Lepisosteus oculatus: one gene and its partners. The protein of the gene in region 2 purifies or fractionates together with the protein of the main gene of each other region. This does not show direct contact. Links are inferred from orthologs where the notes say so. Each region holds a gene or a part of one and is shown on either strand. Other genes may lie near its edges.

What was found.
Region 1: the proteins of prostaglandin E synthase 3 (region 2) and smyd2a purify together in Homo sapiens (affinity purification with mass spectrometry; 3 studies listed by BioGRID and IntAct, with this or other methods). This does not show direct contact. The link is inferred for Lepisosteus oculatus from reciprocal best matches to the Homo sapiens genes PTGES3 and SMYD2.
Region 3: the proteins of prostaglandin E synthase 3 (region 2) and egln1a purify together in Homo sapiens (affinity purification with mass spectrometry; 5 studies listed by BioGRID and IntAct, with this or other methods). This does not show direct contact. The link is inferred for Lepisosteus oculatus from reciprocal best matches to the Homo sapiens genes PTGES3 and EGLN1.
Region 4: the proteins of prostaglandin E synthase 3 (region 2) and fkbp4 purify together in Homo sapiens (affinity purification with mass spectrometry; 3 studies listed by BioGRID and IntAct, with this or other methods). This does not show direct contact. The link is inferred for Lepisosteus oculatus from reciprocal best matches to the Homo sapiens genes PTGES3 and FKBP4.

The regions. Positions count from the first base shown.
Region 1 is NC_090697.1:21,658,947-21,666,129, reverse strand, and holds the start of smyd2a (N-lysine methyltransferase SMYD2-A), read left to right. Parts: upstream 1-4,181; 5' UTR 4,182-4,388; coding exon 4,389-4,564; intron 4,565-7,183. UniProt on the Homo sapiens protein: Protein-lysine N-methyltransferase that methylates both histones and non-histone proteins, including p53/TP53 and RB1. Specifically trimethylates histone H3 'Lys-4' (H3K4me3) in vivo. The activity requires interaction with HSP90alpha.
Region 2 is NC_090696.1:20,892,888-20,900,007, forward strand, and holds the start of prostaglandin E synthase 3, read right to left. Parts: upstream 3,012-7,120; 5' UTR 2,787-3,011; coding exon 2,785-2,786; intron 1-2,784. UniProt on the Homo sapiens protein: Cytosolic prostaglandin synthase that catalyzes the oxidoreduction of prostaglandin endoperoxide H2 (PGH2) to prostaglandin E2 (PGE2).
Region 3 is NC_090712.1:5,069,603-5,076,633, forward strand, and holds the start of egln1a (egl nine homolog 1), read right to left. Parts: upstream 3,008-7,031; 5' UTR 2,450-3,007; coding exon 1,694-2,449; intron 1,413-1,693; exon of another isoform or gene 1,389-1,412; intron 1-1,388. Other genes in the region: tsnax (translin-associated protein X), read left to right, coding at 4,429-4,444, 5,481-5,588, 5,973-6,087. UniProt on the Homo sapiens protein: Cellular oxygen sensor that catalyzes, under normoxic conditions, the post-translational formation of 4-hydroxyproline in hypoxia-inducible factor (HIF) alpha proteins.
Region 4 is NC_090702.1:11,471,040-11,478,452, forward strand, and holds the start of fkbp4 (peptidyl-prolyl cis-trans isomerase FKBP4), read right to left. Parts: upstream 3,003-7,413; 5' UTR 2,664-3,002; coding exon 2,571-2,663; intron 1-2,570. Other genes in the region: ATP-dependent DNA helicase DDX11, read left to right, coding at 4,859-4,987, 5,908-6,138, 6,389-6,475, 7,168-7,319. UniProt on the Homo sapiens protein: Immunophilin protein with PPIase and co-chaperone activities. Component of steroid receptors heterocomplexes through interaction with heat-shock protein 90 (HSP90).

The DNA of each region.
Region 1 (7,183 bases), on a different chromosome or scaffold from region 2:
ACAGTTATTTGAATGGCTAAACTCGTCAATAAAACATATTTTACAGATTCATTAACGCAGAGAGCATTGATAAGAGTGAATGCTCAAATTGGAGAGATGTAGTACTGTACTTAGTGTAGTACCGCAAGAATCTGAGCTAGGATCTCTGCTCTTTCTAATTAATATCAATGATCTGGATTCAAGAATAATTAGTGAATCAAATGTGCACCAAATTAGAAAGATTGTTAAACCCTGTAAAATCAGCAAATTAATTTCAAACAGATTTAAAAGTGCCTCGTAGATGACATATAATGCAGATTTTGTAAGTACAGAGTATTGCATGCAAGTAGTAATGACAAAATGGGAGCTAGAAGAGGCTGCTTCTGAAAATGATTTAGACGTTTATGATGACATGACATTTACACCTTCTACACAACGTGGGAGATCAACTAAAAAGACAAACTAAATGCTTGGATATGCGGTTAAAAGTATAGACTTTGAATCAAAATATGGTATAGCAGAACCCTGCCTCCGCTGAACCCTGTTTCCATCCAGGATGAGGACACCTGGATGATAAGCTGGAGTGGTCTGGTAACACTGACACCCTGTACAAGAAAGGTTAGAGCCAACTCTCCAACTTTTCTTAGAAGCCTCAGGTCCTTTGGTGTGTGTGGAACACTGCTACACATATTTTATGAATCAGTGGTGGCGGTGGCCATCTTCTACGCTGTTGTGTGCTGGGGCAGCAGCTTCATGACAAAAGATGCAAATAGGCTCAATAAATTTATCAAGAAAGCTGGCTCTGTGTTGGGGATGAGCCTTGACCCCATGGAGGTGGTAGCTGAGAGGAGAATTCTGACCAAGCTCACAGCCATCATGAACAACACCTCTCATCCGCTTCATGGGACTGTTACTGGGCAGCGGAGCACTTTTACGGTGTTCAAGGGAATGTTTCCGCAGGTCTTTCCTCCCGGCAGCTGTCAGGGTCTATAACACTGCCTAGGCTAGGACTGTTAGCCCTTTATTTGCTCGTCTATGGACAGCATGTTTGTGCCATTGTACTTTTTGGACAATCAGTCTGTATAAACCTATGCACATTTTGCACATATTGAATTGTTTTTACAGTGACTATGATCATCACATTTTGCACACACCTATGTATTTATTTTTTATTTATTTATTTTGTTGTCTTTTGTTTTATAACTATTCTGATGTCTGTTTTTGCTTGTCTTGGGTTGGACTGCTGTAACACATCAATTTAATAAAATTTAAAAAAAAAGTTTAATAAAGTATTATCTATCTATCACACACTTGTAAGGCCACATTTTTTAGTAAAGTATACCTCTATACCTTATTGTTCATCATGTTTTAGAAAATATACTGTATTGCTACAAAGTTAACCCAGCAGATCTCTTTAGAATGAAGAGTTAAACACAAACCAGAGGGCACAAATGGAAACTACTGTGTGTAGAAGTGCATTTAAAAAGAAGAAAAGGAGGCACATCCGTAAGCAACAGATTGTGGGAGTCTGAAACAAGCTACAGCATGGTGTTGAAGAGATGCTCTCGTTTCTTTTTCAATAAACAGCTGGATGAAAGTGAGCATGTGAACCCATTACCTGCCAATAATCAGTCCAAAGGTTTACCCAGTACTCCACACCACCTCCATATATATGGGTAGAAATAAAAAAACAATGCAAACATGATTTTATATAGCTAAAAGTGTACCATTCAAATCAAAGTATTTTATGTTAAAATAAATATTAGAATGTTGTGCCTTATTTTGGTCACCACACATTACAACAACAACAAAATATCTGGTATTGGTCTGACATTCCAATTGGTTTCTCCTTGTCTTTGTTGAAAAATTTGGAGTCTCTAATAAAAACAGTTCTTTTTTTTTACATAAATTCTTTACTTCATTGCTAAAATGAATTCTGAATTAATTCATTGCTGAATTATAATCAACATGTGCATCAGGGAGTCTATAGCACACACCTAACGTTATACCTTTAGAATGACTTTTGAACAGTCTGACTTACTTAATTTCAGAAACTCAAGATCTTGCTTACATTAAGTTCCTAAACCTGAATACTCATTTTAATATAAAGTATAGCACTGGACTTCTGTCTTTCCTGCACTCTGGAACAGTGTGTATCCACTAATGTTACTTTCGGCATCATCGGTTTCAGTTAACCATGTTTCTGTGATCTCAATTGTTATATTTACCTATAATTGCTTATCTCAGAATGGAACATGCATAAAGGGACATACCATGGAGCGTGTGAAAGTGCATTTAAAAATGAGAATAGGAGGCACTTCTTTATGTAATGGGGTGTGGGAGACCGTAACAAGCTATGCAGCCAAGCTCTTAAAGAGATTCTGTATTCTAGCTTCTTCCAATAAACAGCTGGATTACATTTTTGGATCATTTAGTGCAAACTACCTAATAGATAACATGGTTTGAATGCCCTCCTTTCATTTTAAACCTTTTTTATGTTACTGTACTTTAATTTGTATAATACATTTAAAGCCTTTTTCGGTTTTGTTTGATTTGTTACTGCAGTAGAATAGTTATTTGAGAAATGTTATTTAAATATTTAGATTTATACAGTATCCATTTCCAAAAATACATGTACAGTATTTGTATAGCATAGGTCTTCATAGAGTAAAGTTATTTAGTTTATCCATGGGATGTCTAGTGGTTGTGCTGAAGGGCCATTAACAGTCATTTGTAGTAATATTCACAGAAGTTCAAGTGCTACAATTGAACTCGTATTCACAACCATAATAGTTTCATTTACTCATTCAATGATGTTTTACATAAGCACACAATAATTATTCACACCCTCTTTCATGTCCACAGTTAAAACAATAAATAGAAAATGATTATGAATGATTAGGTATACCAGCTAAAAAAGGTAATTAAACTTAAATATTCTGAAGGAGGCAATTAATACATGTTCTAATAGGCAGCTTGTTGCATCTGTGGTATTCAAATAAGGTGACTCACTTTTCAATCTTTAATTGCTACATGCAATAATGGGACACCTGCATGGCTGTCAGAGACTTGCACATTGAGACAAATATACTGTGGGAGATGTGTTTCGTGTTTTCTTGAATTAAAGGTGTATTCTACTTTCATTCAGTGGACACATGAGACACTAGGTTACGAGGGACCCTGGGGCTGAATGAAACAAGTCAATTTTATTCAGCAAAATAAGGCATTCCTAAAACTGCAATCCAGTCATTTATAAATTTAAACACCGTGAGGGATACATGAAAACAAAATATATAATTTCCTTCCTTTCCCTTTCCAAAAGTATTTAGTAAAGTTCTCCTAGAAAGAAAAAAAATCTAATGATAAATATCCCCAAATCCCTTCTATTGATATTTGTCCTGCTCATTAGCAGTAGGGTACACCTAATTATAGAGCACTGAAGTCTTCTCTTCAGAAGAGGTTTACGAAAGTCTGCTCTTATCCTTCTTATCTCACAAGGTTTAGCAAAACTGGAGTCTTTAACAACCTGGTTTATGCTGCAATACAGAAATAATGTTTTTAATAAAGTATTCTACTTCTTGACATGCTGCTTCTATGGCAGGAAGTATTGGGGGCAGGATGCTGCAGTTTATAAAACAGTGTTACAGACAGTAGTGGAATGGCTTTGCAAGTGCTGTGCTGCAGTTATAGCGTTATTGAGCTACAGTATGCTACAGTAGCTGCTGTATGTCACTGCTGCAATATAAGATTTTATTTTTTCAAGTAGTGTGTAGCTGCAGGTCCTATCCTTACCAGTGCTCTTTTTTTTGCTGAGTAACAGAATAAACATTTTTTTTTCTTGTCAGTTGAAATTGATGATGTCCGTTCACATGTTCATATGGTGTACGAACAGAAGCACACAGCTACTGTATAAACATTCCCTGAACAAAGGGTAATGGTGGTAATAACTTTGAACAAATACAGACACACTTAAACAGCAGGTGTTACTGTATAATATAGTTAATTTATTGTCTAGCAAATATACCAAACACATAAACGTAAGAATTATCACTCAGAATGTTATCCTGTTGTACTGTATACAGTATGTCTAACACACAGCAGCGTGGCTTCTTAACCCTGAGGTCTGGAGATCACGTAATACGTCAGTGTATTACCCTGAACCTTAGGTCCTTAAGACCCCACGGAATCCTGCAGCAATGCTGTAGCTGTGTAAGCCATCTGCTGCTACCATTTATGTAGTTCTGGGTGAGAGTGACGCTGCTCCATTAATAGCAAAGGTTTTAATTCACCCAGGCAAAACCTGATCTTTCTTGTAGTAAGGGATCGAATAGAACATTGACTGGGAGTGCTTCCAAAATTATCAGAAAAAGCAAGGCAAGACACGATTAGGAAATAACCACGTCAAGAAAATGAAGACAGAGGGCACGCCAGAAGGAATCGAAAGGTTTATCAGTCCTGGCAAAGGCAGGGGACTGAGGGCTTTGAAACAGTTTAAAGTTGGAGATCTTCTTTTTACGTGCCCGGCGTATACTTACGTATTGACAGTCAACGAGAGAGGCAACCACTGTGAATTCTGCTTTGCAAGGTACGTCACTGACATAACTTTCAATTAGCAATTAATTTAACATTACTGCGGCGGAGTGCTGAGAAAGACTGCTTGCTGGAAGGAAGTCATCGCAGTAGTTCGAGAGAAAGGCTTCCTGTTGGTCGTAATGGACTTTCAGTAGCTGATTACGAGTATGAATGGGGACCGTAGCAACAGAACGTCATGAAATTCAGTGCACTTAATACAAATAATTAAAAAATAAAACTATATAATTAAACACTACTTTGCTGAGGTCGTTATTTTACTACTCAAGTTCCAGTTTGAACTGTTTTTAGTATTCGTGTGTTGACTTCACAACTTTCAGAAAATCACCATATTAGAATTAAAGAAGTATTAAGGATAACGTGTTAGGGGGTCTGTAGGTATCGATGACTTTTACAATAACAACGAAGGAAAATGTGCAGTGCCCTTAGTCCTGGGGAATGCGCGGACCATTTTGGATAATGCACGTACGGTAGTACCTTACAGTTAAGATACTACAAATTATTAATTTAATCTTGTCCTTTTCCAATAAAACATTCTTTCATTTAGATGTGCAACAGCCATATTAATTATCTAAAAAAACAGCTTAATTATTTTCAGTTTCTGGAATTTATCAGTTCATTTCAGCAATTATTATTTTCTAATTCGTTTCATACTCGTGTGAAGTTTTTGCATTTCTTGCGGTAGAGCAGTAACATCTGTTGCTAACTCAAAAGTTAGTCGATCAGATTTATGTCCAGCAAACCACTGGACAACGCTGGCACTTGCTTTCCTATGGCACGTTGGATGAGCCTTAAAATCTGTCAAACAGAAGTTGGCGGATATTAAATGGTGACGCATCTCGCATTTTATTGCCAGGTTTTATGCAGGCTTTAACGGGAGGTTTATGGGTTGTTTTATTTGCTGGTTGCATCTTAATAGCTTATCGTTTTCGGGAGGTATTTTGGAAAGCATAAACAGATTCTTCTTTTGTCTTTAATATAGCATTGACTGTGGAAATCTTAAAAGGCACATTTTCGAGTGCTCTGTAAAAAAATATTTTAAAAGTCCTGATATAAAAAAAGGCTGAAATAGGTGTGTTTTAGTACCTTATACTCCACAATTCTTTATCTTTCATGAAAGGTAACTGTTGTATAGAAATATGGATATGTGTGGCCTTCTGGGCATGGCTATGGGTTACATCAGTCTGTCCTTCCACTGTCTGTTGGGGCGGTTGTCCATCTGAATGATTTGTAAAGGGACTGAGAAAAGCATAACTTGAATTTAAGAAAACTACTTTTCTTTGAGACTGAAAGTGTATTGTTGCAAATGAGGGGTTACAATAATTGTGAATTTCAGGAATTGACTGAGCTCTTCAGTCAGTTAGTAAAATAATTATTCATAACCCTCAACTTGTAAGTGATTTCTCCAGAATATACCTGAGCGGTTGGTATAATTAAAGGCATGTGAATTCTCTGGTACAGCTTCAGTGAAAAGAGTAATGATCCAGGTACAAATGTTTATTAACAAATGACAAGGCAAACACTACGCTGCACACAACACAATATACAACGCACAAGGTGCTATATTTACAATATGTACAAATGAGGTGTTTTAGAGGCCTAACATCCTAACCACCCAGAAAACCTGACAGCTACTAAGCTTTGAACTCTTAAATAATGCCCACAGAAGCCACAATAAGAAGTGCAGTAAACTCCCTTTTAATAAATATAATGCAACCTCCAGTTAAATGTCTCACTTTTCAAACCCCGATGCCACAAAATAAATGGGAGCCTATTTCCCTATTCTAAAAATGTCCCCACAAGCAGGAAAGATGTTTAGCTTATTCCCAGGAAACCCAAGTTCCCTAAAAACACAGAACAGCAAGCTCTCTCTAGCAAGCTTCAAATACTTATCTCCACTCAGGTTTAGTTTGGATGATCATGAAGTAGGGGCTCTCGCCCAGTGCAAGCTTCAATTTCCATCTCCTTCTGCCTCCTCTCTTGAGGTCTAACTTTCTCCCTCTTCCTTTTCCTCTCTTCTGTGTTTTGATGTGATCTCATCTGGTGTGTTTCTGGACTGCTCATTGTCAATAATTTACCCACAGCTTAATTAACTAGGTAACCCAAGGTAAACTTTCCATTTGGTTTTGATCAGGGAACCCCTTACATCTGTTTTGAAGCTAGAGATGTTTACACTGCTAGATGATAATAACTTTATCTAAACTCTTAGAGACTCTTCCTAGTCGCCTATAGCTGTAACAGTATTCATGCACATTAAACAGTTTTTTTAATCTATGATTACTACAAAGAGTGGGCCAGTTGAGTTCTTATCTAGAACAAGGTACTAAGATACTTAAAATGGTTTTCACCAAAATGTTTTTGTTACTTTTCAGTAAAGTCCCCCTTGACTTTGTTGTCGTTTCCCAACTTCTTCACTCTATGCTGTCAAAACATAGTCTCTAAGAGGCATTCTCTCTTCCTGATGCAATGAGAGATGTAAAACTGAGGTTCATTCTTGATCATTAAAAATCCCAGGGCATTTCTTTAAAAGAATGTACCAGTGTCCTGGTAAATTTCCCCCTTGAAAATTTACCAATCGTGATCTCCTACTGATCTCTATGTACTGTATGAATTG
Region 2 (7,120 bases):
AATTATGGCCAACCACGTGTGTGGATGCGTGTGTGGGGCAGAGGATTGAGGAGTTCATTCTGACAGGCAGGAGGCCACGTAATTAGTGGTTTGCACTCATCCACGAGTGGCATAAAGCAACGGGAGAAGACAACACTGCTTACACTCTAGCAGCTGGTGGGCTTGAACACAACAGCAGAGGTTATAAAAGAAAATGACTTCACACACCATGTGTAAGCAAAACATTTGCAAAGCAGGGTTTCAAGTCGATGTGCTGTTCCAGATCCCAGCTTACGCACAACCACCTTACAGCAAGTGAAAACTGAAATGGCTCAAACCGCTCTGTAATGGGGCAGCACGGTGGTTTGCACTCCTGCCTCACAACCTCACAACCCTGGGGGCATGCGTTCACTTCTGAAACTAGGGTGCTCCCTGTGTGGTAGGTTAATTGGCTTCTGGGAAAACTGACCCTGGTGTGAGTGTGTGTGACGGATTGGTATCCCATCTAGGCAGTACTCTGCCTTGTGCCCATTACTTGCCAGAACAGGATCCAGCTCCCTGAATTGGACAAAGCAGTTAGAAAATGGATGCTCTGAAGGCAGATAGGTTTACCTTTGCAAGATCAGAGTGCGTGAGTGATATTCAATTGTGAACCAGGAACCAGGGCTTTCAAAATTAGAGCTCAATGTAAAGTTAATCCGACAGAAAAGCTTTCAAGAAGCCACAGCCCAGATGTGCAAATCCAGTGCAGGCTGAAAACACACGGCTGGATAAAACACCAGAACTCCACCCAGTTCACTTCTCCTCGACCCCCTTCCGTGCTCATTACTATGTGGCCACACTTCTTCAAGCTCTGCAAGACTTTCGACAGCACACCGGAACCACCTCTTCCAACGTTTCCAAGGACTCCTCTCCTCCGGGAAGGAGCTCCGCTCTTTCCCCGGGGAGTTCACTGCAGGACATCGCACCTTCTTAACCCAACAACAGGTAGCCTAAAAACAGCCTACCAACTTCCACAGTCAGGCAAACGCACTCACCCACTACCTGCTCAAGTGAACTTACAATCAAAGTATTGAATACCAGCAAAAACACTACACTACTTCAAGGAACAGGTAAAGTTTATTCTATGCTGAAAGGAAAAGAAAAGAGACAACGTTTCAGCTGTGGAGCCTTCTTCGGGTGCTCAGCCGGGAACCACCGCGTATCTTTCCTTCTCCTCTCAGCCTGTAATAAACCTTTACCTGTTCCTTTGCAGCCTATGCCTGCTGCCGCAGCTCCCTGCTTGGACGTCTCCTATGCCACTTAAAAGTTTTCCTGACTTTTGATAGCGGCCAGCCCACCGTGCCCATGTCTGGACGACGCCCCCGTGGAGGGCTGGTGCGGCCTCGAGTGAGCTGGGAGAAGAGCTGTGTCACGGATGGGCTGCAGCACAGGAGCAACAGCAGGTCATCATGGCAAGCTGTAGTTCTGTAGTTACAGGCGACGGACGCTCACCTCACCCACAGCTCATATTTACCTGCTATTACCCCTGAGCTCGGGTTCAAAGGGGCCGGGCAGCGCACACCCCGGCTCGTCATGTGACCCCCCCCCCCTCCCCCCAAGGCAGACGACGTGGACCGGGCCGGACCGGGCCGCCATCAACAAGCGAGACGCATTTGTCAGGCGGTGGCCATGAACTGACTGTGCAGCCCGAAGACTTCAGTCCCAGCTGCTGGGTACTCCATCAGCACAACCATGTTCACGCCAGGCTATTTTTTAGCGGTTCTCAAGGTCGAAACCGTCCTGTTTTATCTTTATTTTTTTTAAGCCATTCAGGCGCAACTGGTAAATTACTACACAATCGAACAAGTACGTTTAATGTAAATACAACCAAATATTCAGAGCACACAGACGCAAACAATGAGACTAGCAGAGATTTCATTCTATGAAATCGCAACGGAAAATAAATATCGGCACACAAAACCCCGCTCGGCAGGCAGACATCTTCTCATTCATTATCCCCGGCGTGCATCGCGGCACTTTCACTTTCGTGTAAAAACACCACGGCACGTTGCGGGACTTGGGAGGCATATACCCCCCCAGAAAGATCTACCCTGATGATCTGGGGCGATTACAGCGCGATTACCCCAACATCGGAGCTGACCTAAAAGTATCTCACCCCCAGCCACACGAGGGGCGGGTGCAGTTCGTTGCGTTGCTACCCCAGCGCAAGAAAAACCTTAATTTGATAGGAAATGCACGGCCCCCGAGCCATCAAGCCACAAGCATAATTAAATAAATGCAGAATACGTCCTCCAAAAGAAGCTGTTAGCGACCACCTCCGTTTGCATCCCGTCCCGCTGAGCGTGTCTGTATTCCCCCCTCTCCTTTCTCCCCAGCGAGCAGACATGCTCCTACAGCGCGGAGGTCGAGCCTCCCGCTACCTGCTACAGATCCGGACAATATCGAACAAATGAGCCCAGTATTTCTCCAAAATACCCTTTCACACAACCTCCACGCCCCCTAAATAGGTTGCAGGCGGGCACACGACCAGTCGCACCTTTTCAAAAGCTACGTTTTCAAGCGCCCGAGAGACACCCCGGCGCTCAACGTGAAGCGCGGCCTATACCGCGCTCGCCTGCTCTCTGCCTTGCCCGCTGCCCCTGAGAGACGACTGGGTAACGTGAGTGTGTGTGTGTGGAACAGGGAACCTTACTCTGGTCCAAATTTTTCTAGGCACCCCTGAAAAGAATTAAAAAAATAAAAACCGCCGTAAGTGATTCGCCCCTTTCTCCCCTCAGTCCATTCCAACCCCCATCGACTTACATCTTGGTTATCTTATTCAGATGTTTCCTACTCTCCGGAGTGCTGCTCTGCTGTTTGTTTCTCGTTATCTGACAGAAAGGTGTATTTACTCTGAACGAAGTAAAAAAACGAGCGATTAAAAATAAAAACCCGCCGAAGCTCCGAGCTGATCTCCCTTCTCCTCGCGTGTCTCTCCTCCTCGTTCTCGCGCAATGACGCAGCAGCCGCGCGCCTAGACGTTTCTAGAGCTTCCACCGGCCCATCTCGTCTCGTGCGGTCTCCCGCCCCTGGCCGCCTGGGCACCATGGAAACGGAGAGGGCAAAGTTCATCTAAAACATTCCCTGTCCTGGGATCGCCAGTTTGGTTCCGATTCGCATCCAAAACGTGTTACTCAATTAAGAGATGGTGAATATCTCATACCAAATATCTCGTTTTAATTTGTATTACCATGGCGACTGTTGTTTAGAGCTGGGTTTTCTGGGAACTGTAGTTTTTAACTTACCAAAGACTATAAAGCGTATAATAATAATAATAATAATAATAATAATAATAATAATAATAATAATAATAATAATAACTGTTTAAATAAAGAGCCTTTCCAAACCAAAGGGCGCTGTATATAGTGATGAAAAAAACTAATTAAAATACAATAAAGGGTAAAAGAAAAAAAAACAATAGCATACACTATAAACTACAGGGCAATCATACACAGTCCCTAGAAAAAAGGTCGGTTTTAATATATATTTTAATATTTGACCATAAAGAACGTTTACCGTTTGGTTATTAGCATGCAATTAATCTGGGATTCTCACCCAGTCCTGTCTTGGAAGAAGCCAGGGAATTGGCTTCAGCAACATGGCTGCTTAGCTTGCTCCACGCTCCCACCACTCTTCGCACAGAGACGAGCCTTCTGCTCTCGGTTTTAGCAGGACTTGTGTCCTCTGGTTTGAGTTGCACTGTTGATTCTGAGGAAGGTCGCTGGGTTGACTCTGTCAGAGCCTTTAAAGAGTTTGAATGCTTGAAGCAGGTCCCCCTGGTGACTTCTCTGTTCAACATATTTGTATATCTGTAAAATATTTGCGCTGTCGATGCGGCGCATTTCCTTACGTCTCAAAACGAGTTCAAAAGCAGCAACATCCTTTTTGATGTAAAATAATCTATATGTTTGTTTTCGTAACCCACTTCTGTAGACTCATATTAGCCTAGAACATACAGCGGTCGAAAGAGATTTTCTTTTCAACGGTGATCAGTTTCCAAAAACTGTCAAATGAGGTCAAATTGTTCTACCTCGTAGAAAGGAAGAGCGATCATATAATCAATCACGCCAACGGCTACACGGCGATTCTGTAGTCCGGAAAAACAGGTCAACATCGCCGCCTAGTGGACTACCTGTGGAAACGTCTGTAGGATTTAGTCATGTCGTTTGCCAACCCGCTTTATACCAAACGGTGTCGCGGGAAGCCGGAGCCTACCCGGCAAGCAACGAGCGCAAGGCAGGGTACGCCCTGGACAGGACGGCAGTCCATCGCAGTCCATCGCAGGGCAAGTGCAAGCCAATCGTACATGGGGAAAATTTGGAGGCCACGGTAAGGGCCGAGGGGGGAAATTTGACCCGGACACCAGGACAACATCAATTACTCACCTTCTTGTATCAGTCTAGGCCGTGAGACTCGCACTGTCTTCTGCCAGGTTCTTAAAACATGATTTTCAAACAAAAATGCAATTGTGATTTTCTAAGCCTGATTCATAAGTAACTAAGTTTATATGCATATTTTAAATATTCTAAAATTGAAACGCCATGCATTTTATACACGTATGCATATTTTAAATAGGACACATCTTAAACAGCTCAAATTAGCACCTGCACACATTAGCACCTTCACTTTAAGGCACTGCACTGTTTGCACTATGTCCTGTCTTGGCTGTATTATAATGTCTATTGTCAAAATTTATTGTCCATGTCTGTTTGTCATTTGTGCGGATATTTTTTTTCTCTCTATTGTTACTGGGTGCAGCTGAACGAGTAAGCATTCCACTACACTTGTTGTATAGGGCAAATGAAATTCGAATCTTGAGCCTTATTTAAAAACGAAGGATTTGGAGATGGATGGCACAGTGGAGAGCCTTTCGCCTGTGTCTGCCCAACAGAAAACCCAGAACCGCAGGAGAGCAGACTCCTGCAATGTCATTTGCAAGAGGTTTCCCGACGGCCGGTGCTCACCCGACATTCTTCAAAACTGCATCCAAGTAAAAAGATCCCCTCTCTGATTTTGCACTTCCGAGGAAGCACGTTCATCCATCTATCAATCTTCCGCTTTCCTCACGGCAGAGACGGAGCTCATCCCGGCAAGCAACAGGCACGAGGTGGGATACACCCTGGATGGGACACCAGTCCATCACAGGGCACACAGACACATTCACACACTCACAGCCGGGTCAGTTTTCACAGACGCTAATGAACCCACCAGCCTGTACTCGGACTGTGGGAGGAAACCAGACCAGACAGACAGCACCCCCGGTCCAAAGCCGAACTCAGGGCCGCTGCGCGCTGCGCAGTAAGGCAGTATTGCTACCCACGGTGCCACCATGCCATCCACATTCACACTCATGATATTTGTGAAAGCAGTGCAGGCTGGCAGCTTGGAACCTGAAGACTCTGCTCCAGTAATGGCCTATTCAGCTTCCCCTGCCTGACAGCACCGGGGCTTGAGCTTTCCCGTCTGAAGCCAAGACTCTGAGAACTTGCTTGGCAAGGCGGAGGTGTGATAACATCCAGGCAGCAACAGCAAGGATGAGGCTATTTATGCTGCTGCTGCACTTTGAGCAGAGGAGAAAGCAATAGCCGATTCTTTAGATTCACCTATTACAGGGAATGACAGAGTAACTACCCTTTTATTGAAAACAATGTGCAGTTTTCCAGGTGTGGCACCTATGGCTGAGCAGGTCACTGGCTCAGAACAGGAGTATTAGTCTTTGGATGGAGGCGTGGCTGGATAAATGGGTGTGGCCAACAAGAGTTGTGTGGGTGTGATGTTCAGGGCTGCTGAAACACTGAAGATGGAAGGCTACCCTGTGAGTAGCTGGTGTAGGGCACAGTGAAGCCATGACGCTCTGGCTGATCCCTGGAGCTGGATTGCAGCCATCAGTGCCTGGGTGTCACCCCTTGAAGAACACAGCGTGGCCGGGCGAGCTCTAGGGTAACCACACATGGTTACCCAAGTCATGCAACAGGAAGTGCAGACTGACCAAACAAGCAGGACATTAACTTTAGCTTCAAGTCACTAGGGAGCCATTTGATTTTGCAGAGGTGAAACCAAAGAAAAGCTGGCGAGCAACTTGGGGAGATATTCTCTTCAAAATTTGTTAAAATATTTTCAAACATTACTGAAGTCTGTATCCATGATACTAACCTTGTTTTGCAGATTGGTTATGAACTACCAAGGTCAACCGTGTACATAGTGCTCTCAACAAAACATACTGTATAATGCAGTTTCCTGCTCTGTTTCCATGTTTAATTGTTTGCTCATTATAAAATAGTACAATGATGGTCATTTTAATACAGTAAGTTGCACTTCCTAACCTCAAATACGTAGCTAAAGCTTTAAGAAAACACAATCGTTCTCATTTTAAGAATAAAACGGCAAGACTTATTTTAATATTACATCTCTCCCTAAACTCTTACTCATCACACAAATGCTCAGAGACTACCGTTATTCAAACGTGAAATATACACCCACCCCAGACAGAATGAGAGATAGCAAACTGCAGGTGTTGATATCCTAAAACTACATGATCTATTACAGTGCTACCAGCTGTACACTTCCTTATGTGGACAGTCGCGTGCTTACACAGAATGAAAACAGCAGGAAAGTTACTTTCAGCAGCACAAACGCGGCCCTAAAAGGATTGTTTCAGCTCTCCTGCACTGTTGTAGGGGCTGAATGACCGCACACCGTAGAAAAGAAGGCGTTGTATCTCGGCAACGAAAGCAGCACACATGCTCCTTTCAGCAGCACAAATTAACTTATGCGGCGGTTTTTATTGTGGTGTCGTCGGGGGGGCCACCTCATGGAGCTGCAGGGGGCTGGTTTGGATTCGACCAAGAGGCAGTTCAAGCCTCCTGCGCTCTGCTGTGGGACTCCTCCCAGCTCCCCAACAAGTTTGCGATCATCCTTGAGCTCCGTCCTTCAGAGGAGACGGCAGGCAGCTGTTTTTCACTCCACCTTTGTCTCTCGAAGGCATCTGTGGCTAAAAAGTGGCTGCAAACTGGATTTTGGGAAACAAATTTCATGTTTCTAGAGATGGTTTCTATATTCCACCTTTTTAACTTGTAAGAAAGGAGAAAACCTACTTCCG
Region 3 (7,031 bases), on a different chromosome or scaffold from region 2:
ACTTATTACAGTTCTAACATCTGTGCTCGCATTTGTCCTTCGTTTTCTTCAACGATAACATTTTCCTCAGTTTCTTTTCCCAGCTCCTGTTACAAAGTCACTGCGGTCATTCGTCTTTACTGTCTGTCCCTATGGTAACTACGTAACACTGCTCAACTTATTTTAATGATCATTTTGCATCACCTGAGCATTTCTCAGTAACAGGTTTATTCCATGCTGAAAAGAGAAGAAAGAAAACACATGTCAAACTGACTTATACAAAACAGCACTTTTTTGCTATGCTGTTCTGTATAAATTCAATAAAGCCTTTGCTGTAAAAAAAGACACAAATATGCATTCTAACAAATGCATAAAGTTTCAGCAAATGTGGACAGGTTAAAGCTTTCTCGTCTTAATCCAAGGGGTCTGTGTTTTGAAGTGCTCGACTACTCCATTTGTACTTCATATACTATTTTAATGCACTTTTTAAAAACAAAATAGCTCGATTCTCTTAAGGGCTTTTTCCTTGTTCTCATCACAAACGTGCTCAAAAAAATAAAAAGGGATTAACATTATCACTGCAGTGAAATCAGCCTATATAGAATTCAGACGACTAATTTAGTGAGCCACGTTTTTTTTTTAATCCTAAAATGTTCTTTAACCTCTCTTTTATTTTCTCCGTTATTTGAATACAGAAATGCTCTTTTCTGGACTTCGGAACATCTGTCACTTCCAGGCTCAATCTTCTTCGGTCACATGGAATTACATCCGTCAGTCACTTTCTAAATCACGTGTGCGTAAAACTCTCCCTGATGCTTTTCATTCCCAAACACGTACAACGTGCTATAATGATTTACACCGGTATCGAACGATCGCCGAAAAATAAACGTTTGTCATCTCAATAAGAATTCTGGAAAGGATACAGCTCAGAACGGGTTCTTAATTGAGCTGGTATTGCGTATTTCATTAGACAATTAGGCACTGCGCTGATAGACTCAGCCTGGGTCCGTGTCTACAAAGTTATTAGCGGACTAAGGCCTCGCTTTCCTTCGTCAAAGTGAAGAGCATTTCGCCCAAGGATCGCTGGTCAGTAGTCCATCATGATTTCATTTTAACGCTGACACACACAATGCCTGCATCGCTGTCGAATGGAAACAGCTACATTTTTCCCCACTCCAGGAAAAAAACACAAACACAACTTTCCCTTTTAACCCCTGTAACTGTCCATCGCAGAAAACACGTCAAAAGGGGTCACGGACTATATTCCAGCTGCTTGCCACTGCGTCTGACGGAAACGAATGGTGCAGAGGTGTCGGACAAGAGCAAACACCAAGGAACTCGACTACTTACGAGCTGGAAAAGCACCCGGTATTGTTAATGGATCTTGGAATAAACTCGTCTGTTTTCCCCGTCACCTGCTGCTTCAGGTCAAAGTAAGTGTTGTCCCCCCCACCAAGACTCGGTGCTAAACGTGTCATCTCACGCATTTTACAGACACGCGTGAAACAAAACTCTCGAAAGACAACAATCATCCTGGCGCCTCGTTCCTCACACGTGGAGGTGTTTACCCGGCGGTTCCCCGACGACAGCTGGCGGGCCAGTTTTTCACCTGCTCAGGGGAGAGGAGAGGAGAGGGGAGGGGAGGGGGTGTGGAGGGTTATGTGCACCTGCGCGCCGGGGGGGTTACACCGTCCGCACCTGGGGCGCTACTTACTTTCGTCCTCCCGTTTATTTGGTAGTTTCCCAGTTTACCATTACAGTGTCTGACCAGATCGTCCATGCGGCTCATGAGAAAGGCTATCTTCTCACAGCCGGGCTCCTTCCCCTCGATCCACGCGATTTTGTCGCCCCGGATGTCCCTGGAGGAGTCGCTCCGCTGGCTGACCAGCTGGCCGTCCGTGAACTTGCCGGTCTGGTGGAGGGCTCTGACGTCCTCCAGGATGCGCAGTCCAACCTCTTCCCCGAGGAAATTGTCCACCACACAGATGCCGTGCTTGTTCATGCAGGGCACGATGTACTCCATGGCCAGCTTCTGAGGCTGGGCTTTCGTCTGACCGTTGGGCTTAATGTTATTGTGAATCCCGTCCCCGGCTTGCTTGTTGTTGGCGATGCCACCCGGCTCGTCCGCGCAGTTGATATGATCCGTCGTCCCTTCCCTCTCCGGAGGCCCCGTGTCCGCCGGGCTCTGGGAAGCCGGCGTGTCCGGCCCGGGGCGGGCCTTCTGCGGCGGCTGTGCTCCTTTCCCGTCTCGGACCGCCCGGTTCTTCTCCGGCTGCGACGGGCTCGGCGCTTTCCCCGCCTCCTTGCACACCAGCTTGTGCTTCTTCCAGTCCTGCTTCTGGTGTTCCCTGCTGCAGTAGAAGGAGGATCGGCAGCGCCCGCACTTGAGCAGGTTCTCCATCTTCCCGCAGAGCTCGCAGTACTGCCGGTCCCGCTCCAGGTCCGACAGCGTGCCCTCCTCGCTCGCCATGGCTGCGAAGTTCAGCGGCGGCTACTGGCCCTTTAAATCCAGCGCTGCCCCTCGCCCCGGCGGCGCAGTACAAGTTTGGAAGGGATCCGCCGCCGCAAACAAGCCCAAAGGAAAACCTGCTCCCTCCGCTTCGGCGCGACGCACTTTCATCACCCACGCTGCGTTACCCTCTGCGGGTTACTGGAGGGCGAACACCGGACAGTGCAGACGGCACATGGCGCACTCCCTCTGCACTCCGAAATGCCCCTGGTCTCAGAGCGCCAGTCTCCCAGAGACACATGGCGCCGCGCTCTTTCTCCGCTCCTCACGTCGTCCCTAACCAACCCCAACCCCTGACGTCAACGAGGGAAGGGCAGGGCCCGCCTAGAGCCATTCACAAGAACCCCAGCAGTGGAGTGCGGCCGGGGAGGCGTGCGTGTCTGTGTGCAGTCCGCGGCGTTGTCAAGTCGCCCAGACAAATCGGGTGCCCAGCCCGTAGGCGGTTTCGGAACCGTGACACCTGCGGCCGCTCCGACGCGCTTCGGAACGCGTTCGCCTCTGTGCCTCAGAATTCCAGACACAGCGACGTCACAATGCCGAGGGGGGGGAAACAACTAAATCTGTTCTGGGTTTCCTCAGAACTGAAGCCTTGAAATTAGGGGCTCGTCCCTGGAGCGCCACCCAGCCGCTGCTGTCAGAACTGCCGAGCGCTTATTTTAAGACGTAGTTTTTTCTGTGGAGATCTGGCATTTACGACACGCGACGCGCAGCGCGCGTTTCCCTATTCTTCGAAATACTCTGCCATTGCATGTATTCTTCGTGACCCATCAGAAATCCGGGATTTGCCGATTTTGCCATCTTCTACAGCAATTATTGATCAGGCAGTGCTTACAAAGAAGAAATAACGCATTTAAACACACACCCTGAAGGTGTTACGTTTGCGGGAAGTATCTGTGTTTTGTGTGATCTAACGGTGCCAAGAGCATCTTGGGACCCTTGAAAGATGTTTTTTCTGAGTGTCCCAGAAAAATCCCGTTGTTTTTATTAATGCAAATGATAGGCCAGCTGTTGAGCTTTTTTGTGGACTCCAGGGATACTGCTGTTCAAAGCAACGTGTTTTAAGCGCCACCCTCTCTTGGCACAATAGTTCGGAACCCTCATATCTCACTTTTGATATTATAATGCACCCCGTATTTGGACTTGGGTTTTGTTTGTGGGTTGCAAGTTTCCTCACTGCGTGTGCTTAACCCGATTAGGCAAAATCAGCCTTGTTTCCCTAAAACCAGACGAGATTTCTTTTTTTTTTCGGTCTGAATATAGTAAAGGCATTGTATGATCAAAGGTACCGCATAATCAGTTATAACAGAAGCATAATTCCCTGCATTTGTCACACCTTCATCCCATATACTTGTAGGATCCATAACAATAATCTACTTTTTTTCCTGTCATTAATTATTATGTGCTCACGTGTAAGAATTGCATTAACTTTTTGAGTGTTTTTTTAAATGAAATACCGGTCTTGTACAGTACGTATACACTGTACACACCACGTTAGAGAGCCGCTATATCTTAAAAATACATTTCCCAAAATGCAATTTTCCAGTATGACGTATTTTTAAATTGAAAAGATCGGCTCCCGGCCTGAAAAGCAAAGCTCATGCCACTATTAAAATAAGTACGTCTTAGTCACAGTTCGGTCAGAAAACAACATCGACGTTCTTTTTAATTTCTATTCGATTATTGTGAATAAAACTAAACTTCTAAATATTTTATTTACCTACATGATTTTCTTTCTTTTCTGTTTTAATTTAACAGGCAGTTGTAAGGCAGCTACAGCATATCCAGTGTTCTAGGAGCGAAACATGGTTGTTTAGGAAAGCGTGGTTTGATGTAAACACATCCTTGGGCACAGCGAATTGGCGATTGTTAATTTCTGCAATTAAAGTCAATCAGAGTTTAAATAACAAAGAACATTTTGGTAAAAACTATTTTAGTTCGCGATGAGTAGAAAAGAAGGTTAGTGTTCAGTGATTTGTTTTGTAGGTAGTAACGGAATTCACGACATATTGCTTGAAAGCCGGAGTTTTCTGTCGTAGGAAATTTTTGTTTTTTAATATTCATTAATTTATATTTGTTGTTTTTTTCAAACGAGGTGCTTGCGTGTGGACAGTTCTGACATTAATTGGATTAAAAGCAGCAGTGATGATGTCTGCTCACACGCTGTCGGTTGTAGTGTGGGCTGAACGGCTAATTGCCAAAATTGTCCTTTCGAGCTAATCCTCCTTTCAAAAATACATTGGGTGTTGTTAATTTGGTTAAGAGGGAGGGGATAAGATAATCAGCTGTGGTTGATTTAAAAAGCTCAGGAATGGCATCTGTCAGCTAATTAATCGCAGTCACAAAGAGGAAGGAAAATAGAGACTCAATTTCTGAAAGTAAAATTCATTGAAAATGCGCGTTTAACTGGGTAATCTCAGATCACACAGCTAACAACATTCAGAGCTAACCAAAGACTTGAACGGGGTTAGTCCGCTAAGGCGAGCAGGAGTACACCGCTGTTGTGAAAACACATCTGTTCGCATTGTTAACGGTATTTGTTTTACACGTGAGCCTTTTCTGATGGTATTGGGGAACAGTCCCTTTGAAATGCGGCTACATCCCCGTATTTCCTTTGAAATTCAAATGCTTTTATTGCCCCGCGAATAGGTCCTTATTTACAAGTTGTTTGACGCTTCGTTAAAGTCGTCTTCTAAATAAGTAATGATAATAGTTCGTTTGTGATCTCAGAAGCCACATTCCTTTAAATTGTATGAACATCCTTAACAGTGAAGAATAGATCTTACCCAATCATTCCTCTGTAGCTGCGCTTTGATCTTATTTTATAAACTGACAGACAGGACGTTGATATGAGTACAGAAGTTTGAAACGGAACCTTTTTACAGGGCAATAGCAGTTATTTCATTGTCTATTTGCTGTTTGAGGTTTAAGACCATATAACATACCGTTTGAGTGGTAACATGCCTGTGTGTGTTTATGGGTTTTGGTTTCAAAGGTGATGGAAGTTTTCGGAAACGGAGACAAGATTACACTCCGACCCACAAAATGGAAGATCAGGACGATGGTACTAACACAACTTCAGCTGTGATGGCAGCATTTAAATGTAAGGAAATACGTTTTTTTTCATGCTAGAGCAATAGAGAAATAGAAGCAACAAATGAGCAGACTGATTGCTGGTAAGTCTCTGCATTATACTTAAGAGCTAGTTCTTTTGTAGTACCCTGACAGAACAGTTGAAATTGGTGTCAAGGTAATAATTATAATAATAATTACTTACACTTATACGGTGCTTTTCTGGACACTCCACTCAAAGCGCTTTACAGGTAATGGGGTCTCCCCTCCACCACCACCAGTGTGCAGCCCCACCTGGATGATGCGACGGCAGCCATAGTGCGCCAGAATGCCCACCACACACCTGCTATCAGTGGGGAGGAGAGCAGAGTAATGAAGCCAATTCACAGGAAGTGCTTTCCCCCTCTTTTTATAGCATTTCAGCTGGAGCTGGACACCAAGCATGACAAATACGAAAGGCTGGTGAAACTGAGTCGCGATATTACCATCGAAAGCAAGAGGACTATTTTTCTCCTTCACAGAGTAACCAGGTAAGGTGTGACGTTTTGCTGAATGCAGGGCTTGGGCTATCAGAATCTGTTTCATCCTGGACGCTACTGGAATCTGCTGGTGGATTTAAGTGCAAGCATGACCATAAAACAGTGACAGCGGTCTTCAGTGCGTTAGCCCCAGGAATAACTTATCATGAGTGAGTGGAGGGCTTGTTTTTTCCAAGGTGGTGGTGAGGTTTGGATGTGGTGCCTTCTTGCTATGAACAGACCTGTGTGTATTGTGTATATTAACCAATAGCTGCATTGAATGGTACTCGGTGTAGTCAATGGGACTCATTGTAGATAGTAAAATGCTGATTTGGTGTTTTTAATGTAAGATTAAAGAATAATAATACCCTGGAGATACATTATAAGAAACCCCTTTTTGATGTAGTTCAAGGAGGTAGCTACTTGAGTCAGCATGTGTAGGCTGCAAAGGAACAAGTAAAGGTTTATTCCACGCTGAAAAGAGAAGAAAAGAAACAAAATGTTTCGGCTGTGGAGCCTTCTTCGGGTGTGTGATGCTTTTTGATGGTTTGCTCGCCATATATAGGTGCTCTGTGTAGGCTTTTAGTGTATTTTTTTAGGGGTTGCCACATTCCAGGACTGTAAAGTACTTTTTTAGAAAAGAGCGGATACCGTTAACAGGCCCCTTTGCTTGAAAAGAAGCAGTTAACATGTTCATGGTTCGTGCTTTCTGCAGCTTGAGGAATAAGCAGTGTTTAAACTGGGGGACCAGTTGGTTGCCTGGCGGGACAGGTTGTGCTGCCTGTTGCTCTGGGCTGAGGCCGATCGTCAATCCAGCAGGCCCGGCCAGCCGTGTAGAAAACAGGGAGCCCCAACAGCCCTGAGGGCGGAGGAGCCCACTGTCAGCCCAGGTTGTAGGTGTTCCCAGGTGCCGGCTGTGTTACGTGAACCCCTTTAATGCCTGGTCTCCCTCTGGC
Region 4 (7,413 bases), on a different chromosome or scaffold from region 2:
CAGTACCTGGATGGGAGACCTCCTGGGAAAAACTAAGGTTGCTGCTGGAAGAGGTGTTAGTGGGGCCAGCAGGGGGCGCTCACCCTGCGCTCCATGTGGGTCCTAATGCCCCAGTTCAGTGACAGGGACAATATACTGTAAACAGGTGCCGTCCTTCGGATGAGACGTAAATCGGAGGTCCTGACTCTCTGTGGTCATTAAAAATCCCAGGGTGTTTCTTGAAAAGAGTAGGGGTGTAACCCCGGCGTCCTGGCCAAATTTCCCATTGGCCCTTACATCATGGCCTCCTAATAATCCCCATCTATGAATTGGCTTCATTACTCTGCTCTCCTCCCCACTAATAGCTGATGTGTGGTGAGTGTTCTGGCGCACTATGGCCAGGTGGATGCTGCACATTGGTGGTGGTGGAGGGGAGTCCCTATTACCTGTAAAGCGCTTTGAGTGGAGTGTCCAGAAAAGCGCTATGTAAGTGTAAGCAATGATTATTATTATTATTATTATGTATTATGACACCTACTACCATGTGGACAGATCTTACATGGGATCACCATTTTGGGCTCCTCTGAGAAGCAGACAAAGTGTGAAACATGCACTATGCTAAAGGGTCAGCCACTCTCCTGAGGCTGGTGGAAAGACAAGTGCAACTGCAATAACCTTATTTCACAATATGAGACCTGGTAGCCTCAAAGGTTGCCCAGAACTCTGGTCTAGGAGTGACCACGGTGATCACAACGCTGTACACAGAGCTGTAATGGGTAATTTTAAACAAAATAAACACAAAGGGACATGCTATGCTGTGTTGTACAGTCATCTCATTATCATCACCTAAGAATCAAAACGAATACAAATAAATAATACTGCTCATATATGGCAAATGTTAATAAAACTTAAGCAATTCCAACACATTTGTTCTCTTATTATGTTTATGCTAATTTTCACATTGAAAGATAATGAAAACATCCAATCATGTACATTAGGGATAATCTGACAGTAAGTAAAACTATATGTAAGCATTGAAAAACAATAGTTCAAACTGTCCAAGATTAACAAAATAGCATAAATGTTCATGATTAACTTAATAGATAACCACTAGGCCTAATTCTCCATTTAATGCTTTGTTAAGTTTCAAACTAATCATGTGTTTTCAATGTTGTATAGAATTTTAATGTAGTATGTTTAAAATCTTCAACAGATGCACAAACTGTTTCCTGTCTGGTTTGACTGATTCCACTTATCATCTTTAAAAAGGTATCTACCTTCTTTCAAAAATGTAGCTGGTGGATTACCAGTTAAACAGGTGGATTTTAAGATTAATCTTCCAATTCTGGGTAATAGATTAAGACAACGCTTTAATAAGGAAGAGGTCTTTTATCACCTTCTTAAAATTAAAATAATAATAATAAACTTTATTTTATATAGCGCCTTTAAAGGTGGCTTCTCAAAGCGCTGTAACGGATCTGTCATATGGAATTCAGGTTTGGCAGGTTGAGGTGTCAATTAACTTCACAGCCAACAGTCCAGAAACTGAAATGGATTGAAATTCTAGATTTATTTGGTATGCGGACGTTTACTACTATTATATTACAATATTCCTATTGGTCAATAGGAAGCCTGTCAACACACGACATTGTGAACTTAGTTCTGAACACTGACACGGAAGCGATCTTGCTCTCGGCGTGGACAGATCCTGCACGTGGGGGTTCCAGTGTTCTAGAAAACCCTCGGAGCTTCCAGCCGCACCAACACCACACTCGCGGTGCGCCCAGACACGCAGGCGGTAGAGCAACAAAGAGGGCAGGAAGTCATTAATTCTCAAATTTCAAAGCCAATGAAACTAAATTCGTCTAAAAACGGGGAAGGCATTGGTGGAACACATAGTAAGATGCTACAATTCGACTGCAGAACGATTTAAGAAGGTGACTGCGCAAATACTTTTTCAGTGCGAAAAGTCCAGGGCAGTGTACTTTCTGCAGTTTGAAAGTTGGTGACATTTACTCGCTTTCCGACGTTTAAGTCTTAATACCTGTAGTTGCTGAGAAAGTAAATTCTGATTTGGTTGCACTGAGAAAAGTTGCAGAACATTTCTAAATATCAACTCAACGTAGAGGCATGGAATATAAGGACATTCTAAATTTTCACTTGCCCTTGCGACCCCCGAGATATTATTTAATAATATTAATGCAGTATTTACGAGTGGTTTTATAGCTCCTCAACGTTGCAAAGTCAGAGTAAAAATCCGTCCCTTTACATACAAACTAGCCACATACCCATTCATTTTTTTTTACCAAGTATTATGGTAATCAATTTGGTATTTAGGAATCGATTATTAAGGTCTGGATAAATACGTAAAAATCACCGGGCCAACTGCAGAGCAAATGAAGATAAAACCATAGAGTTATGCAAAACGTTATGGGAAATCAAAGGCTTACATGTTCACAGAAAACCGAGTTTCTAGCAGCAGGGTGACTAAGCGCATTTATTAAGACGTTATTAAAAACGAGTCAGCTATGTAATAGCTATTAATCACTCTTCCTACTACTACGTGCACTTTATACATTCAGATTATTTACCTTTAAAACTCCTCCATCTTTTTTCGGGGTAATGTCTTCCCCCTCCATCTGGGTCGTTTGCTGTCCTTCGGCGTTTACTTCTTCTGCAGTCATTTCGCCTGACCTGTAACGGCAATTCTAACCGAATCTCAGATCTCAGTAGCTAGAATGGAGATATCGCCAGACCCCCTTTCTCTTTAATCAATTTTAAACACCTGCGATATAAACCTGCCGCTTGTTCCTGTGTCGGAATCGATCCACACAAAAGCAATAGCTTATTGTTACAAAATATAAACTATATATTTAAATCGCAGCCGACTTAAAATCTCTTATCAGAGAGCAATCTCAGTGTTCCGAAAAGTCCGCATCAGAGGCGTCTGCGAACTACGCGCGGTGTGCTTCGTACTGCAGGGCTGCCAGTCGAGCGCCGTCTATCAAGCTCCCCGAAGGAGGACGGGCACAGAACTTTCCAGAGCCGCGCCGGGCTGAACTGTAGCCTGCGCCAGGGGTCGCTTCCAATATCTCCACACGCGAAAAAAACGCAAACCTTCTTGTGCATTAGCAGCTTAGGCAAATTCAGAAACTTTTCTCATGGTTTTAACGTGCTGCGGGGAATATGAATATACATCATGTTTAAATGTTTAAACGGTTAAACGCATGTTTATTTCAGTAGCGAGGATTGTTTCACCGGGCTGACAATTAATGGATGAGTTTTAGGAAAAGAAATGGAAGTAAATCGTGTTCCTGTTCTGAAAATATCATCAAGTTTACAAATTTGCAACGGCTGTTGCACTGAAAGTAAACGAAACATTAATCCAAACAGTTAGTAGGTATGTTTTTAAAGGACTTAATTCATTTACCTGATCTAAAACTTTGTAGACACTCCCTTTTCTCTTAAATGGTTCAGTTTGGAAAAGAAGGAAAACGATATATCGATCTATATTACACATACATTTTTTGTATGTGTAACAACACAGAGCATTATTCATATGAATTGTGAGATGAGAAAACGATTCCAATGAATGCTTTGAATAAATCATTGATATGTTTAATTGTTGGGGGTAATGACTAACACTTTTTTGCCTAACCCGGCTGTAATCTGAGCCCTTCCGTTCATCGCGGGGGTGTCTGTGATTGGCTGATTTTACCCCAGCACTTGGCGCGCTCTTTGCAACAGCGTGAGCCCTCCAGCAAGAACAGCGGCTATCGTACTGCACACTACTCGGTGAATATTTCAACAGATTATTCCTTACGTTTACAAGTAGCTGAGTATATTTATGTCCGTGTATTGCTGTGTGCTGAATTGGTCAATCTTCGCGGTGGATTTTATGCATGTTTATATATTTGATAATTGAGTTTGCTTACCCATAGAAGACAAACGGAAGACAAACAGGGAACTAATCATTTCTCGTTAAATCAATGTTAAACAATGGGTTTAATTTTAGAAGTTGCTTGTTTAAACGTAATATCTTGCCATTGATGTCTGACCTGCAGTCAGTGATTGGACGATCTTGACGTCACACGAGCGGTGATTGGCTGGTCATTGATCCGGTTCAGAATTAGACCGAACTTTAAGGCATCCATTCATTTGATGACTGTTCTCATCTTATTTAGATTATGCTTGCGAGTTTTGTTATAGTTTTCTACGGAGTAATCACTATGGATCTTTAGTTTTTTATAATTATAGCCATGTTTAAAATTTTATGATAACATTGAGGCTGCATTTGTTTAGGAAAACTGGAAGCACAGAGACATTTTTTTTCAAACGTTTCCTGGAAAACTTTGTTGTCTTAGGTTTCACTATACTGTTGCAATGTGGTAGGACTGAATTCTTAGACCATCTATAGAACACATTAAAGTCTATGGTGGTGTGAGTTGGGTTTTGGGCATCGGCTGGTTATCGTGTTCAGTGGAGGATGTTTAACCTTTGACAGAAAATACAAGAAAGCTCTCCAGGAGGAACTTGTTTCTGTGCCGGGGGTAATTATCCAACAGTGCTGATTACTCTGGAAGTGGTGGCCTAGTACACAGTTCCTGTGTAAATCTTGACAGTCATGAGACAAGAACCCCAATAACATTTGTACAATCCTAGACAGACTCCTCTACTTAGTGGACCACCTCGTGGGAGTCTGTGTCATTGTGTGCAGTTCTACTAGAGCAGTATGGGGTACTCTGTACACTTGTACTCAAAATGTGTAAGCCCTTTGCTTCCATGTATGGGGATGAGGACAGAATAAAGTATGATTTATGTGTTTTTTCTGTGCTTCTTTTCTGTGCTACTTCTCTTTCTTAACATAGTCTGCTTCAAGATGGCAGATGGACCTATACAGTTCCCATTTCCATACCAACCATACTCCATCCAGAAGCAGTTCATGGAGGCTTTGTACACTGCATTAGATGAAGGAAAGGTTGGCATTTTTGAGAGCCCTACTGGAACAGTGAGTTAATTGTCTTATTTCCATGGTTTACCCCTGTCCAGCTCAAAGAATAATAACTATATATTGCTGACATGTTCACACAGTCATTATTTGTCTCCAGTAAAGTGAGCCTGATACACAATGTTGTCAGCTCCTGAATTGCTGTTAGGTCCTAATGTTGAGACAGAGTAAGCTTTCCAGTGTGTGAATTCAGAGGTCTCTCATTATGAATCTTTTTTGGGATTTTTTCAAGGACTGTCAATATATGATATATTCTGCATAAAACATAGATTTTGGTTATTCCATTATTCCCTTTATATACATGGGTCATGCTTAATAAATGTCAGCTAAATTAAATATATAATCTTTAATATCACATATTCAACATAAAGACATTTTGCTAAATAGGCTGCCTGTGGACTCTCACTTGGATAATATGGTTTGAAGTATCTAGGTTAAAAAAGGGGTATATACTGTTCCTGAAAGAGGGGAATTCTGCTAATTAAAATGCATTGATGAAGTAAACCCAAGTGGGCTTTTCACAATAAACAGTGAAACCCAAACCAAAGGACACAAGTGGAAATAAAGAGGAAGTGCATTTACTGTATAACTAAGAATGAGCGGCACTATTTCACAAATTCATTATTAGGAGGCCATGATTGGTAAAGGCCAGGAGGAAATTTAGCCAGGACACCGGGGTAACACTCCTACTCTTTCTGAGAAACGCCCTGGGCCCTAGGATTTTTAATGACCACGCAGAGTCAGGACCCTGGTTTTACAATTCGTCCTTTCCCAGGAGGTCTCCCATCCAGTTACTGGCCAGGCTAATCTTCAGCAGATTGCCAGTTGTGAGTTGCACGGTGAGCTGCTAGCTGAATAAGCTACACCCTCAATCTTTTTGAAGCTGAGCAAGCTTCCGACCCACTTGTTCTGTGTTCCAGGGGAAGTCTCTCAGTCTGATCTGTGGTGCCCTCACCTGGTTGAGGGACTACGAGGAGAGAAAGAGGCAGGAGACAGCTCGCCTGCTAGAGTCTGGGGACCTTGCTACAGACAGCTCTGCAGGGAGCCAACAGGCTTCCCAGAGCCAGGAGAGCTCAGACTCTGCAGAGCCCAACTGGATCACAGACTTCGTGCAGAAGAAGGCGGAGAGAGATCTGGTCAGCAAATTAAAGGTATTAATAAAAAAGTTTGAAGAAACAGTTTAAAGGGATTAAGATTGGGAACTCTCTAGGGAATAATGAGATCAGGAACTTTTCAGTAAAAAATATAATCAGTTCCACAAGGCATGTTTGCGTCTGTTAGCAGTGCCAAAATACCAATGGGACTGACTGACTGAAGCATCAAAGCTTCCTTTGACATCTGTTTTCACTTTACATAAGAAACTACATGAGGAGATATCCTGATTTTCTTTTCTCTGTCTAGGAGGATGAGTTGAAGAGGAAGAGAAGGGAAGAACGTTTGGAGTTGATGCGACGTAACGCTAAGCTCAAATACACAATGAAACGCAAGGTATGACTGTCGCTGGGTTTGCCAGCTCCTCAGGAGTGGTCTTTAGACAAAAGACTACGCTTATTGCTCATTTCTCTGTGCCAGTTAATGAAGCATATCTTTAGAAAATATTTTCTGTGTGTTTTGTTTAATAACTAATATAATTGTCATTTTAGCTCAGAGCTGTTTAAGCAAAACCTATTTTGGTGTTGCTTGAGTAAGGGGAGGGTGTGTTACACAGAGGGAGGCACTGAGTTAGTTAACGTGTTGGTCATAGATGGATTAGGAGAACCATTGTCCATTAAAGTCACTTGAATTAAAAATGTGTGTTTTTCTGGGTTTCAGTTAATGCTGGAGGTAAAATATTATTATCCTTGTTTCTTCTTCGTTTTAATGTCTTAAATCATCTTAGCAAAATGTCCTGTTGATAAATATCTACTGTAATTACACTTTATCCAATGTTTTGAGTTAATGATATTGAGCAGCATTGCTGCTGTTAAATGTGAGTAATACAAATTTAATCTTGTTTTTGTATGGCATGTTTGAGTGCAAGTCCTGTTTTGCAACAGTAAAGTGTAGCACGTGTGTAGCCCTTTGTACAGATCTGGAATCAATGTGTAGCCCTTTGGACAGATCTGGAATCAATGTGTAGCCCTTTGTACAGATTTGGAGTCACATTTCCTCTAATGAATGTTAACCTTCATGGGTGTTAGCAAGACAGTGAGGATGAAGAGGCAGTTCGCCTGCTGAAGCTCAGTAAGGAGGCCTTGACTGCGGAGGGTGGTGACGTCCTTGAAGAAGGGGAAGAAGAGGTGATTGTGGCCGTCTATGAGAGCGACGATGATAATGCAGTGCCGAAGAGAAGGTGGGTTGGGGTGAGAAGGGCTGTGGGATTAGATCAGGGTCCTTTAACTGCCCAAGAACCGGGATTCTTTAAAATCCCGTGTGACGGATCACAA